2 linked regions of the Schizosaccharomyces pombe genome follow. Changing the gene in region 1 together with any one later gene gives a genetic interaction. Each region holds a gene or a part of one and is shown in the gene's direction. Other genes may lie near its edges.

Evidence for each region. Genes that interact genetically often act in the same process or in processes that back each other up.
Region 2: mutations in ptp4 (region 1) and peg1 together harm fitness more than expected from each alone (negative genetic interaction), as found in Schizosaccharomyces pombe (one large-scale study listed by BioGRID).

What each region holds. Positions count from the first base shown.
Region 1 is NC_003423.3:1,276,386-1,280,713, forward strand, and holds ptp4 (phosphatidate cytidylyltransferase Ptp4), read left to right. Parts: upstream 1-1,959; 5' UTR 1,960-1,972; coding exon 1,973-2,048; intron 2,049-2,085; coding exon 2,086-2,324; intron 2,325-2,646; coding exon 2,647-2,988; 3' UTR 2,989-3,414; downstream 3,415-4,328. Other genes in the region: mitotic spindle checkpoint protein Mad1, read right to left, coding at 1-512, 563-674; ribose-phosphate pyrophosphokinase Prs5, read right to left, coding at 3,517-4,328. UniProt on the Schizosaccharomyces pombe protein: CTP-dependent diacylglycerol kinase that catalyzes the phosphorylation of diacylglycerol (DAG) to phosphatidate (PA). Controls phosphatidate levels at the nuclear envelope. Counteracts the activity of PA phosphatase ned1.
Region 2 is NC_003424.3:3,151,159-3,159,063, reverse strand, and holds peg1 (CLASP family microtubule-associated protein), read left to right. Parts: upstream 1-1,731; 5' UTR 1,732-1,775; coding exon 1,776-1,824; intron 1,825-1,866; coding exon 1,867-1,934; intron 1,935-2,013; coding exon 2,014-6,285; coding exon of another isoform or gene 6,286-6,736; 3' UTR 6,737-6,808; coding exon of another isoform or gene 6,809-6,930; 3' UTR 6,931-6,984; downstream 6,985-7,905. Other genes in the region: tryptophan--tRNA (Trp) ligase Msw1, read right to left, coding at 6,282-6,736, 6,809-6,930, 6,985-7,112, 7,195-7,275, 7,439-7,738. UniProt on the Schizosaccharomyces pombe protein: Microtubule binding protein that regulates the stability of dynamic microtubules. Required for mitotic spindle formation.

The sequences.
Region 1 (4,328 bases):
CTCTTCCAATTGCTGATTATGAACTGAAAGCTCTTGTAATTGCTGCTCGGCAGCCGCAAGTTCCTTACACTTCGTTTCAAGCTGTTCGCGGGAATCCGCAAAGAGTTTTTCAAGGTTTGTAAGATTGGTATCCTTCATTTGCAAAGCTTGATTTGAGACCATTACTTCATGATTCTTTTCACTTAAAGCTTGATCATTCTTTTCTATCTGGGTTTTCAACTCTGCAATCTCTTTCCATTTTGCATCAAGTAGTTCATGGATCTTCACCTGAGTGGCTTCCTTTTCATTTCTTACTTCTTCTATTTCTTTTTGATAAGAAGTAGACTGCTCCTCCAGTTGCTTTTCAACTAGAGTTAGACGCAGCTGTAACGAATTCTTCTGTTCATGTTCTTCTGCAAGTTTTCTTTGCAACTCAATTTGTTCACGCTCAAATTCCAGTTCCTTCCGCTTTAAATCATTTTTTAGGTTTTCTAGTTGAAATTCTAAAGAAGCTAGTTTGGGATTTTTTGTTTCTACAGGGTGTCAGATCCATAAACAAACGTCAAATATAAGTTTCACATACCATTAGCAGAATTAACAGAAGGCTTCTTCAAATTTGGTTTCTTAACGCTTGTTGCTAGAAATCTAGGCAACTGTGAACGCGATTGGAACGGATCCCTAGGAGAATCCGCCATGGATGTAGTCGCTTGATACACTGTCAGCTTGGAGCTCATAGTGAGAAATTGATTTTTGGTATACCTCTTTAATATAATATTGACAATATGGAGGACAAATTGCATCTCAGTAATTTATTGAAATCAGGGAATTAAAGAAAGGTAGGACTGACTGCATATGCTCAAACAACATACTTGTTTAATGATATCTAAATTAATGGAACTTATTACTTTTTCTTTTTTTTTAAATCATAGACCTTGTTATTATTATATTATATATTTAATGTGTTGAATTCCTTAATCAATTTTCGATGCACGTGTGAACATAAAAGCTTTTAAGTCTTCTAGTTTTTTTATATTGATATTATTATTATTTATTTAAATTGCTAGACCAAATCGCGTACCCTAAGGAACTTACGTAGTCTTAACATAAATTATAATAGTTTTTTTTTTTTTTTTTTTTTTTTTTTTTAATAAAACTTCAATTTGAACAATTAACCAATAACTGAAAATAAACCTGATTTTGAGCAGACTTATTATTATTAAATAAAAATTATTACTTCTAGTTCATCAACTAAAGAATAATGGTTTTCGCATTTAATTTTCAAAATTGCTTGGCAATGATATAAGCTCTAAAATGGTTTCAGTTTCTTTTAGGAATTTTATTAGCATACATATTCAAGTTATCATTTTACTTTTTAATAGAAACTTTCGCGTACTTGAGAATTGTCTTTATATTTTCAATTAATTCTCCCATATTTGACAACAAAAAGCGAAACGTAAGAGCTCACAATAGCATCTAAAGTTTCGTAAAGTAGCGAAATCCACGTTGCGCTATTCTGAAGGTTCAGTGACTTATAAATGATTCTGCATTGGCTGTATGTCGATGCAGTTATTAATTCTCTTAATATATCATCTAAAGAATATTTACATCTAAAGCCATATAGTGTATAACCCATTCGTTTTGATACTGAGTCATCCTGCGAATCACTTTCAAAGCTATGCTATTCATCTAGGAAGTCGAGCTCTTATATTGGCAGTGATAAATAAATAAATTTTTTCCAACTGATGAAGGAAATAAATCGGTTTCTTTTGGGACTCTCAGGAAGTCATTCATTCTATTAATTTTGACTTTAGCTCATAATGTTTACGGAATAAGGAGGAATAGTGCAACGATAAAAAAATAGTGAGCTATATGCGAGAACATTCCTTGCCTCGCATATACCGATTCCTTGCATCACGGCCGGTATCGCTATTTTTTTTTTACCCATTAGAAATACCTTTAGATTGGAAAACACTACTGAGCGAATACTCATCCAATGTCGACTAAATTGACGTGGTCGCAATGGTCCAAAAAGCATGAAATTCCCCGTAAAGCACTCCATACTTCTATTGGTAAGTTGTTTTTATGACTTGGATTAACCGGGTCTAGGATTTTTTGCTCTATTACTTCAGGGATGTGGATACCACGCTGCTCAAATCATACCGGTTATAGAAATTGGATTCATACCTGCATTTACTGGAGATGTAATTCGTTTTAACTGGCCAGCTTTCAGCCGCCTTTACAATCGCGTTATTGGTCCTTTGATGCGAGAGTCCGAAAAAAATGCATGGAATGGTGTTATTTTTTATATGATCGGGGTATGGATTGTTTTAAAAGTTTTTCCAGAGGTAAGTAAAAGTCATTGTAATGTCTATCATTACTGTTATTATTCTTTAAGAAAAAGGAAGATATGGTTTTCCTTGTTCCAGGCGATCCGAAGGGTTTTGTTTTTTACTGGACATACTACTCTATAGAACCCATTTTTTCACGGAGAATGATTTTCTATTCTAAGTATTTGTCAGACCAAGCATATTGTTGTTGCATAGAGTTTAAGTTAGTATTTTTGATCATGATTACTCAAATCTACTTTGCCTTGCTTGATCTTTTCCTAACTTCACCTTCCTTCTTCTTTTACTTATATATTATGCCATAGTTACTAACTAAGTTCAGGAGATAGCAGTAATGAGTGTCCTTTTACTGTCATGGTGTGACACTACTGCCTCAACCGTTGGTCGAAAATGGGGCAAGTATACCCCGAAAATTGCCAAAAATAAGAGTTTGGCTGGAAGTTTGGGCGCATTCGTTTGTGGTGTTTTTTGTTGCTATGTGTACTGGGGCTTGTTTCGTACCGGTCCTGACAGCTTGGCCGCTCAAAGCAGAATTCCTTTCCCTTGGCTTTGCTTGATAAATGGATTTATTGGTGCCTTTGCAGAAGCTATGGATGTGTGGGGTCTTGACGATAACCTTGTAATTCCTGTCGTTTCTGCCTGTTTACTATATTTAATCATGTGATAACCATGTTCTTTTATACTGACATTCTTTTGTTTTTTCCATTCGTCCTTTCCCGACCACGTTTGAAAAATTATTGAATATAGTTATGTTTTGTTGATTCGCTCCTCCATTTATCACCATTTCTATTGTTCATCTTTTTTCCGTCTAACCAGTATGCGTACATACTGTTAAAATGTATAGAAATACCTACAAGCTTCATTACCCAGACAATTTTAGGCTTTTTGTATGAAACATGACGAAATCGTGCAATTAGACTGCCTATATAGTTTCTACATAGCTTGTACATATATAATGGTCGTGAAGAACCTTATATTTAGCAGTTTTACACTAGAGATTAGCTAAGTTGAAATTAGTTTTAGGAAATTAGCTTGATAATCATTTTGTCAACTCAAAGTAAATAATAATTATTTCCAATGTAACTGTCTAAAGTTAAAGTAAAGAAAAAGGACAATTGATAGTATCAAAAAAAATCGGATAGTCTTAAGCCAACTAGATCAAAACAAATTAAATAATATGAACAACGTACAGTTAAACCCAAACTTGATTGTGGTCATACAGTATTGAAATACTCTCACCATTGTGTATGCGACGAATTGCCTCCGCAAAGGTAGGAGCGACATCGATTATGTCAAAACATCCACTTGGTGTAATAGTTTGAGGAGCGGTGTTTGTAACAATAAGCTTGTCAATGCAAGAAAGTTTTACACGCTCAATAGCATCTCCTGATAAAACACAGTGAGTGACGAGAGCATAGATTTTGCTAGCTCCATGTTCTTTGACAAACTCTGCTGCTCGAACTAGTGTGTAAGCGGTATCAATAAGATCGTCGATGAGGATGGCGACTTTGTTTTGTACATCACCAACAAGCATCAAAGATGTTCCGTATTCATGTCGGCGATTCTTATGAATTAAAGCAAAGTCCAAACCCAGAGCATCAGCAATAGCAGTAGCACGTTTGGCACCACCAGCGTCGGGAGATACAATTACTGCGTTATGATAATTCGGGATATTAAGAGAAATGTAATGTTTAAGTAATGGTCGGCCAAAAAGATTGTCTACAGGGATGTCAAAAAAGCCCTGAAATTGGGGATCATGAAGATCCATTGTGATTATATGGTCAGCACCAGAGCACATAAGCAAATCAGCTACTAGCGTGCCGGATTGTGCAATCCATGGGTGATAACCAGTTTGCTTTTTGCATGGAACAACCGCATCTTGCAAGTCAGATAAAGGAGCACCGGAAAAGGAAAATTTTTGATCAGGTTGACGACTATATGGGAATACAGGAAGGACGGCGGTAACCTTTTTAGCAGATGCTGTTTTACAAGCAGAAATCATAA
Region 2 (7,905 bases), on another chromosome or scaffold:
ATTATGCAAGGCATGAACGAATGTCTTTCCCCTTGTTTTGTGGCACGAAAAGGCATGATTGAGGCTGTTGAACGTCGGGCGAAAGTGTTTCCTCATGCTATTTTTCCTCTTTCTCCTTTGTCTCTCTACTGTGCTTTACTCTGCCTTGCTTTGCTTTGCCCTGTTCTACCCTCTGAATTTCGATGTAAGGCGGTACAGTGTAATTCGTTGTTTTAAGAATAGAGTTGGAGAATTAATTATTCGTATTCCAAAACAATTACTAATAACTAATGATGTACAATTTTTACGATATGGTTGTTGCGTTTTGACCAGTAGTAGCGCACACAAGGATCGGCATGAGGATCGTCAGCTAAGAAGATAGTGTGTGTATTTGTGAGGGATCGCCAAAAGATAGCAAAGTGGATGGTGTTTAATGATTTTCGTTAAACTTGGTTAGGGGGTTGTGGAAAGAACGCTATTCCCTTATATGTTTGGTGTTTAGCGATTTGAGAATGAATTTGCAACAATTTGATTAGAAAGAGTTTAATCTTTATCATTGTGTTTATTTAGACAGAATGGGTTAGAAATGAATAGTGGGTTAGGTATGAAGAATTGAATGGTTCGTAGAAAGAATGCCGCATAGGTCCAAAACTTGGCAGATATTCAATTTTGAGCGATATAGAGTGGTAAATAAATGAAAAAAAATCAAATAAAAATGAAAAAAAATAAAAATAAAATTGATACCCATAATTTGAAAATGAATAACCATATAAACTAAATTTAAAATAATGAATACTAAGAGTAGAAACACAATTTCATTATCATAAATCTTTATTACAACACCATAAATCCTTCTTCCTTTTTCACAATTATTAGTAATTCAAAAATTCTTGTTCGATTAACTTTCAGCTTTGCACGTTGATTCCCACCAATTTCCTCTTTCCTCATTCACATATCTTCCAACTTGCATCTCTCCAACTTGTCCCCAAAAGACCTATGTGGGCGCCACTCTCCATATACTAACAAATCTCCTTTTTTAATACCTCCAAAGTACTATGTGGGGGCCTCAAACTGCCCTTTTCATTCCAGTATACGATTCTGTTATTGCTCCTTGTATTTTTACTTTTTGTAAATTTGGTTTAGCCATTGCTATTTTATTTAACGAGAGAAGTGCACTTTGGGATCTGTATTGCCTTGCATTGTTTATTTTCAAACTGCCAGAGGACCATAGTGTTGTTTACCGCCCATCCCAGCATTAAATATATCTTCAATCAATTCATTTTTCCGCACAGCTTAAACTTTCGTAGTAAAGTAAAGATTTACAGCTTTTAAATTTCTCCTTCAACGTTTCGCCTTTTTTATCAATCCCATATTTCAAATCTCACTCTTCATTCTCTACTACTTCCAAACCCAACCCGTACAGTAAACAGTTTTACACCTTTATATACTTCATCTATATAACAAGCACATTGATTTGCTGGTCCAACTAATTTTAGCGTTTTTAATCTTGCACTATAGATTTTTCCGGCAACATCATTCTTTCTATTATCATTTCAAACTTGTGTTTACAACACAAAAAAATTTGGACACGCTGGGGATTGAACCCAGGACGACTCGCATGCAAAGCGAGCATGCTACCACTGCATCACATGCCCAGACTTGAAATACACAATTACTTAGTAATAGATATAGCCCTCTTTTTTAAACTCCTTACTAGCGAGTTTTTAATATTCTCTTCGCAAACAACGCTTCACGTTTCTCTTGTTTCGCTCGTTTCATCAATATATTTGTAATTGATGGCGGATAAGGATGCGCAAGATTTTTTAAAGTTCCTTAAAAGTAATGGTATGAAATTCTAAAGCTTTCATCTATATACTGACAAATTAGCATCCACCGATGAAAAGACGAGATGTCTAGATACCCTTCGCTCTTTCTTTAATAAAAACAACATTCCCGTAAGTTTTTTATTTCAAGGAAGTTTATTCTTTAGTTTTCGAAAATTTCATATCATTTACTAATGCTTTTTTGCCGTAGAATGCAGATCTCGGTTTGTTCGTGGAATGCTTCAGACTTGCTTTAACTACCGTCAACCCTTTACTCCTTAGATCTTCTGTTGCATGCTTTGAAACTTTTTTACGCCGTTTACGTGCCCAATATCCTACATGGTTAAAGTTTCGCGTACCTATGCTAAAAAATCTTGTCATCGATCACATAGCCTCTCGCGATTTACAAAAGCGTGTTCTTAATATCTTAATTGACTTATGGCACTTTAACCCATCTGAAATTGAGAAGAGTCTTATACATCTTTCAACAACAAGTAAAAGTGCCGAAACCAGAATTCAGTGTTTCAAATGGTTCGTCCTTGCACATAATGCTCATCTCAGTTTTGACGTAAAATCTTTGCGTCCCGCTCTTTATATAAACCTAGAAAATGCCAACCCTTCTGTACGAGAGGAGGCGAAAGAAGTTTTGTTACTGATTTACAAAAATCTATCTACTTCAGCTAAAATGCAATTTATAACCGATGTTGAAACTACCTCGGGTCTTCGAAGGGAGATCTTACAAAGCTTAGTGGAAGAGCTGTCTCTCATATCGTCTTCCTCCGAAGTAATAATAGTTCAAAATTCAGCATCTTCGTTTCAGCCCGCACCCTTCATGACAGCCGTAGCTACTCTTTACCCTGGAGTAGAGTTGGAGAATGTAAAGCCATTGTTGGCAAATTTTTCCAAACAACTTGAACAAGATAGTGCTTCTATGCTTCCTGCCTTTGAAGGTCGTGAGACTGAACAAAATTGGTCGGTCAGGCAGGATTCAGTTTTGCGACTTCGTCAATATCTAAGGGGAAATGCATGTATTGATTATCTTCCAGAACTACTTTCAGTTCTTAAAACTCTTTTGCCTGGAATTTTGTTGGCTTTGTTGTCATTGCGTACAACTCTAAGTTCTTCTGCCATACAACTGATAAAAGAGATGGCCATCATATTAAAAAGCAACATTGATCCCTTTTTAGAACTTATTCTACCAAACCTATTAAAAGTTTGCTCAGTTACGAAAAAACTTGCATCTCAAGCCGCTAATGTAACATTTGCTGCCATTCTTGTAAATTGTGGAGTCTTGTCGCGAAATTTATCCTTTATCTCTTTAGCAGCTCATGATACAAATGCTCAACTTCGCGTTTTCTCAAGTAATTGGATTTTTATGTTGATATCCTTATCTCCCGAGTTAAAGAACCTTGCATCTTTGCAAACTAATTTGAAAGCTTTTGAAAAACTGATTTGTCGCGGACTTGCTGACTCCAATTCTCAAGTACGGGAAGTTTATCGAAAATCGTTTTGGAAGCTTTCTGAATATTTTCCTTCCGTTCAAGAAGAGTTGACTAACACTCTTGAACCTTCTGTGTTAAAACAATTACATTTGGCGAACCCTAATCGTCAAGCTGCTTCTTTTAATTTTAGTGGTCCTAAGCGTGCACCAATACGTCCTTTGTCAAATTTGCGCTCGTTCAGTAAGTCTCAAAAGGAAGAAACTTCTTCTAATTCTTCTAATTCATCCGGAACTCGAAGATTAGGTCTTCCTCAAAGAGCAACTCCTGCCTCAAGAGAGAGGGTTCTTCCATACACTCGTTCTCAGGCATTTCATTCTACTAGCTTACCACCCTCTTTACCCTCTGGTCATTCACCATCTATAGCCATACCATCTAAAAGGTCCGTCAGCGCTACTATAAAGGATGAATCCAAAACCTTTGAATTACTAAAGAATATACAAAGAAAATATGAATTGATTTTATCTGGAAGTAGCGTTGACTTACCTTCTGCGGAATTCTTATCGTCCAACTTAACAGATGCGCTTTATAGTGGAAGCTCGATTTGTTACTCACTTATTTTTAGTCACTCTTTATTAGACTTAACATTTCAATATGTTGACATTGCTTCATTACTTTCCCAATTTCTCCTTTGTGTTTATGACCCATCAAATGTTGGACATTCCTTTGCACTTGCTTCATTCCCATATGTCAAAAGTCATTACGATGCACATAAATACTTCCCAATAGTCTTCGATGTTTTGATGAACATCTCAAACATGGCTCCACATGTTAAAGTATTCCCTTTTAATACTAATCAAAAAAGACTTATCATACATGGTTGTCTTTTATGGCTCAAAGAAATCAGTGATACAAAGTTGAATCAATTGGAAAACAAACCTTTTTTTGTAACCGATAAGTTGAGATACTATTCCTCAAAAATATTGGCTATGACTGCTAAGACAAAATTAACTTCCAAAAATTGGATACCACTCAGTGGATTACTTTTTTCTTTAAGAGCTCATGATACTTTCATGTTTGATGGCTTACTTGATAGATTAAACGAGGAATCAAGAACAAAGTTGGTAAGCTCTTGGAGCAAGCAGGATGCTTTCGACTATTCTAAGTCATCGACACATCAAGAACACTTAAGCAAAAATTTACCAACTCTTAATACTAGTTCTTCATCTAATTCTTCACAAACCGATTTGCTAGTACCACATGGCAAAGGTGAGACCAAAGAGACTGAGATGCAATCGCCAATAGAAAGCAAAGAGGGGCTACTGTCTAAAGATACTCATATTGAATCGCCGCAAGGTACTTCTTTAGAAAAGGAAAATGAAGAAGAAGGTAAAAATCCAGTTGAGTCAAATTGTTCCGAAGAATCACTGGATGATCACAATATTGATCAAACTCTCGTAAATAAAAAAGAAACACTTGCTCAAGATTCTGAAAGTTTATTGCAAAAAAATAATGCTTTAAATGAAAAAGGGTTCGAGAATCAATTTGGATTATCTTCCTCTGCTGCAAAAGTCTTGAATAAAGATACGCTGGATCATGTAAGCGGCCCGATTTCTAATTCTGTTTCTTCTTCATTCAAAGACTTTACAAGGACACCGTTCAAAGAGATTAATGGAGAAAGAGAGACAGGTTTTGAGCTCACTAGTTATGTCAACGCATTAAGTAAAAAAGACGATATCAATGTTCAAAAAACTGAGAATGTCGACGAGTCAGTGGGATTGAATGCGATGTTTATGGATAACGTAAATCAAGATTCTTTGAATAGTGTGGACCAAAGTTCAGGGAAAGACAAGTTATTATTAACAAGTTCAACTCCTAATAAACCAACTACTTTTTTTATGCCAGCTAATGAAGAAATACTGGGTTCTCCTGCGAAAGATTACGATATCCATGATCAGTCTTATTCAGTTCATGAATTACATTCAGAAAATATGAGAGAAAATGTGGGTCAGTCTAGCTTAATCTATAACAATCGTGATTATATGAATACACCAATGAATGACTTCAGTCTCAGCTTTTCAGAAATAAAAGGTGGTATTCTAGAGTCTCCAGTGGAGTCACCAATGACAGGAACAATATCGCCTATCGATGCAGATGAATCAGTTCTCCACGATATACCTGCATATGAAAGTTTGAATAAATCGGAAAGTAATAAATACCAGGAACAAGCATATTCAACTCCTCTTCATCACACCTTGAATGTATTACCGAAAAATAAATGGATTTTGTCACGTATGCACAAGATGGAAAATGGGAGTCCGATAAATGTTGACAAAAACTTGGACGATGCAGTAGCAGCATTGGAAGCTGCGGTAAAAGAACTGAATGATGGGTCAGTGAATACCAAAACTTTAAAATTTTGCATTAAGGTTTGCAAAGAAACACCTTCAATGTTGTATCATAGTCATGGGCTTTTGCCTGCTATATTACATTATATCGAATCGAATAATTCAGCTATGCACATTTCTGATTGTTTAATATTATTACATGAATTTTTGGTTCAGGGATATCAAGGTGTGGATATGCACACTTATCACAATATCATTTGCATCCTGATCGAAAAGGCAGAAAAGTGCAAAGATGAACCAGTCATATTGGCAGGAATTGAGGATAACATAACACTTATTGCAGAAATAGCGGACCTACAAGGCTTGTACGAATTTACTCAACAAAGGCTTCAATCCTTGAATACGGAAACCGGAGAGAAATCTGCTCCATTGTTACTGATGCTACTGTCAGCTATACTGATGCGTTTAAAAGATTTGGAGTTTCTTGAGACAAAAGACTTACTCAGACATGTGGTTTTAAAATACATAGATCATACAAATCCTGAGATAAGAAAAGCAACTTTTAACGTGTGTTTGGCGGTGAATACAATAGTCAACAATGTTGATGAAACGTTTTCAATATTGGGAGGATTAAATGAAGGACAAAGGCTTCTTTTCATGCATTATTTAAAGATGAAGTCTGATGAAAAGAATTAGTATACGCTCAAACCTGTTAATGTCTTCAACTTATGCATGCAAGAAGAAGCTTCCGCTACTGCCTCCTCTGCTCCTTTTTTAGCTATATCACGAAGTAACTCCCTATTTTGTCTCCATTCATTGAAAGAAGTAGAAATAGGTTGCAAGCATCTGATAATTGCACTTGATACTTTTTCTTTAAATTCAGCATTAGAGCAGGAAGCATTGGCTTGAGCAATGTCTGAAGGGGTAGAATCACTAATAGCGGCGAAAATGTTAATCAAATTGTTAATGCCGGGTCTATTAGAATCACCATAAGTAATTCCCTTTATATTGTCCGTCTGAGCGCGAGATATCTTTTTTCGGATTTCTCCAGTTGAATCACTGAGGAGTATATAGTTTTTGGAATTGATATCGGATTTTGACATTTTTTTTTCTGGCTGGCACAAAGCCATTATAGAACTGGAAGAATCTATATGGTGTTTTGTTAGTTGGAGAGGAATAATTATATTTATATATATAAAATAACCTAAAGTAAACATACTCAAAATTATATCCGGAACTGTCAATATTTTTTCTTTATATGATGAATTGAAAGAACGGGCAATGGACCTTGTTAGCTCAACATGCTGAGACTGATCCTTGCCTACCGGAATATGAGTAGCACTAGAAAATTAGATAATTTATTTCACAAACGAATGGTTCCTCTCTCTCTCTTACCCATATAATAAAATGTCAGCTGCTTGTAAAACAGGATAGGAAAATAAGCCGAGATTAAATCGGGTGGAGCTCGTAGCGCTTGCATCCAAAAAGGAAAGATCGTCATGATCATGAAGATGAAGTTTGGACTTATAATTCGTTAGTTGAGTCGTAAAAAATGGGCACCCAATTATTCGTTGAGTAGAATATTAAAATAGATGCCCGACTTACTTTCCATTGGGTCATTCGGTTTAATTGACCCATAGAAGTTGAACAGGCAAGTAGCCAAGCCAATTCGGAATGTTGTGCAACCTTGAATAATTAGCTTTTTCTTTATAATTTAAAATATTGGAAACAATTTTGCATAAATCGAAGCTTTAGCCAAAAAAAAATCGGCTTACGAAGAATATAACTACCTCAACCGACTTGACGCGTGCAAGTTCATGCAATCTGGTTAAATTAATAAAATACTTACATCGGACTGGAAAAATAATGTTGATTTTTGAGGATTTATACCGATGGCCAACAAGGCAGCAAGCATATCGAGACGGGCTTGTCTAAATTTAAGAGGATCTTGCGGAACGGTTAAAGCATGCAAATCGGCAACAAAGAAGAAGCATTTGGAGAATGGGGTACGAGCGGCTTCCTCTTGTAGTTGAACCCATTGCTTTAGAGATCCCAAATAATTGCCAATGTGAGGAATTCCAGTAGGCTGAATACCTGAAACAACTCTGCTATGTGGAAGGAGAGAAGTGATTTTTGGAAGTTTAGCCATTCTTTATTACTTTTTATTTAATTGGTTTATAAAGTGAACAAATAAATAAAGATAAAGAATAAATGTAATGAAAATAAAAAAAAACAGCTGTGTTATAATCCAACTGATTACAGCTCGCAGACAATTTTTTCAAAAAGGAACAAGGCCGTAGAAACGAATGCTACACT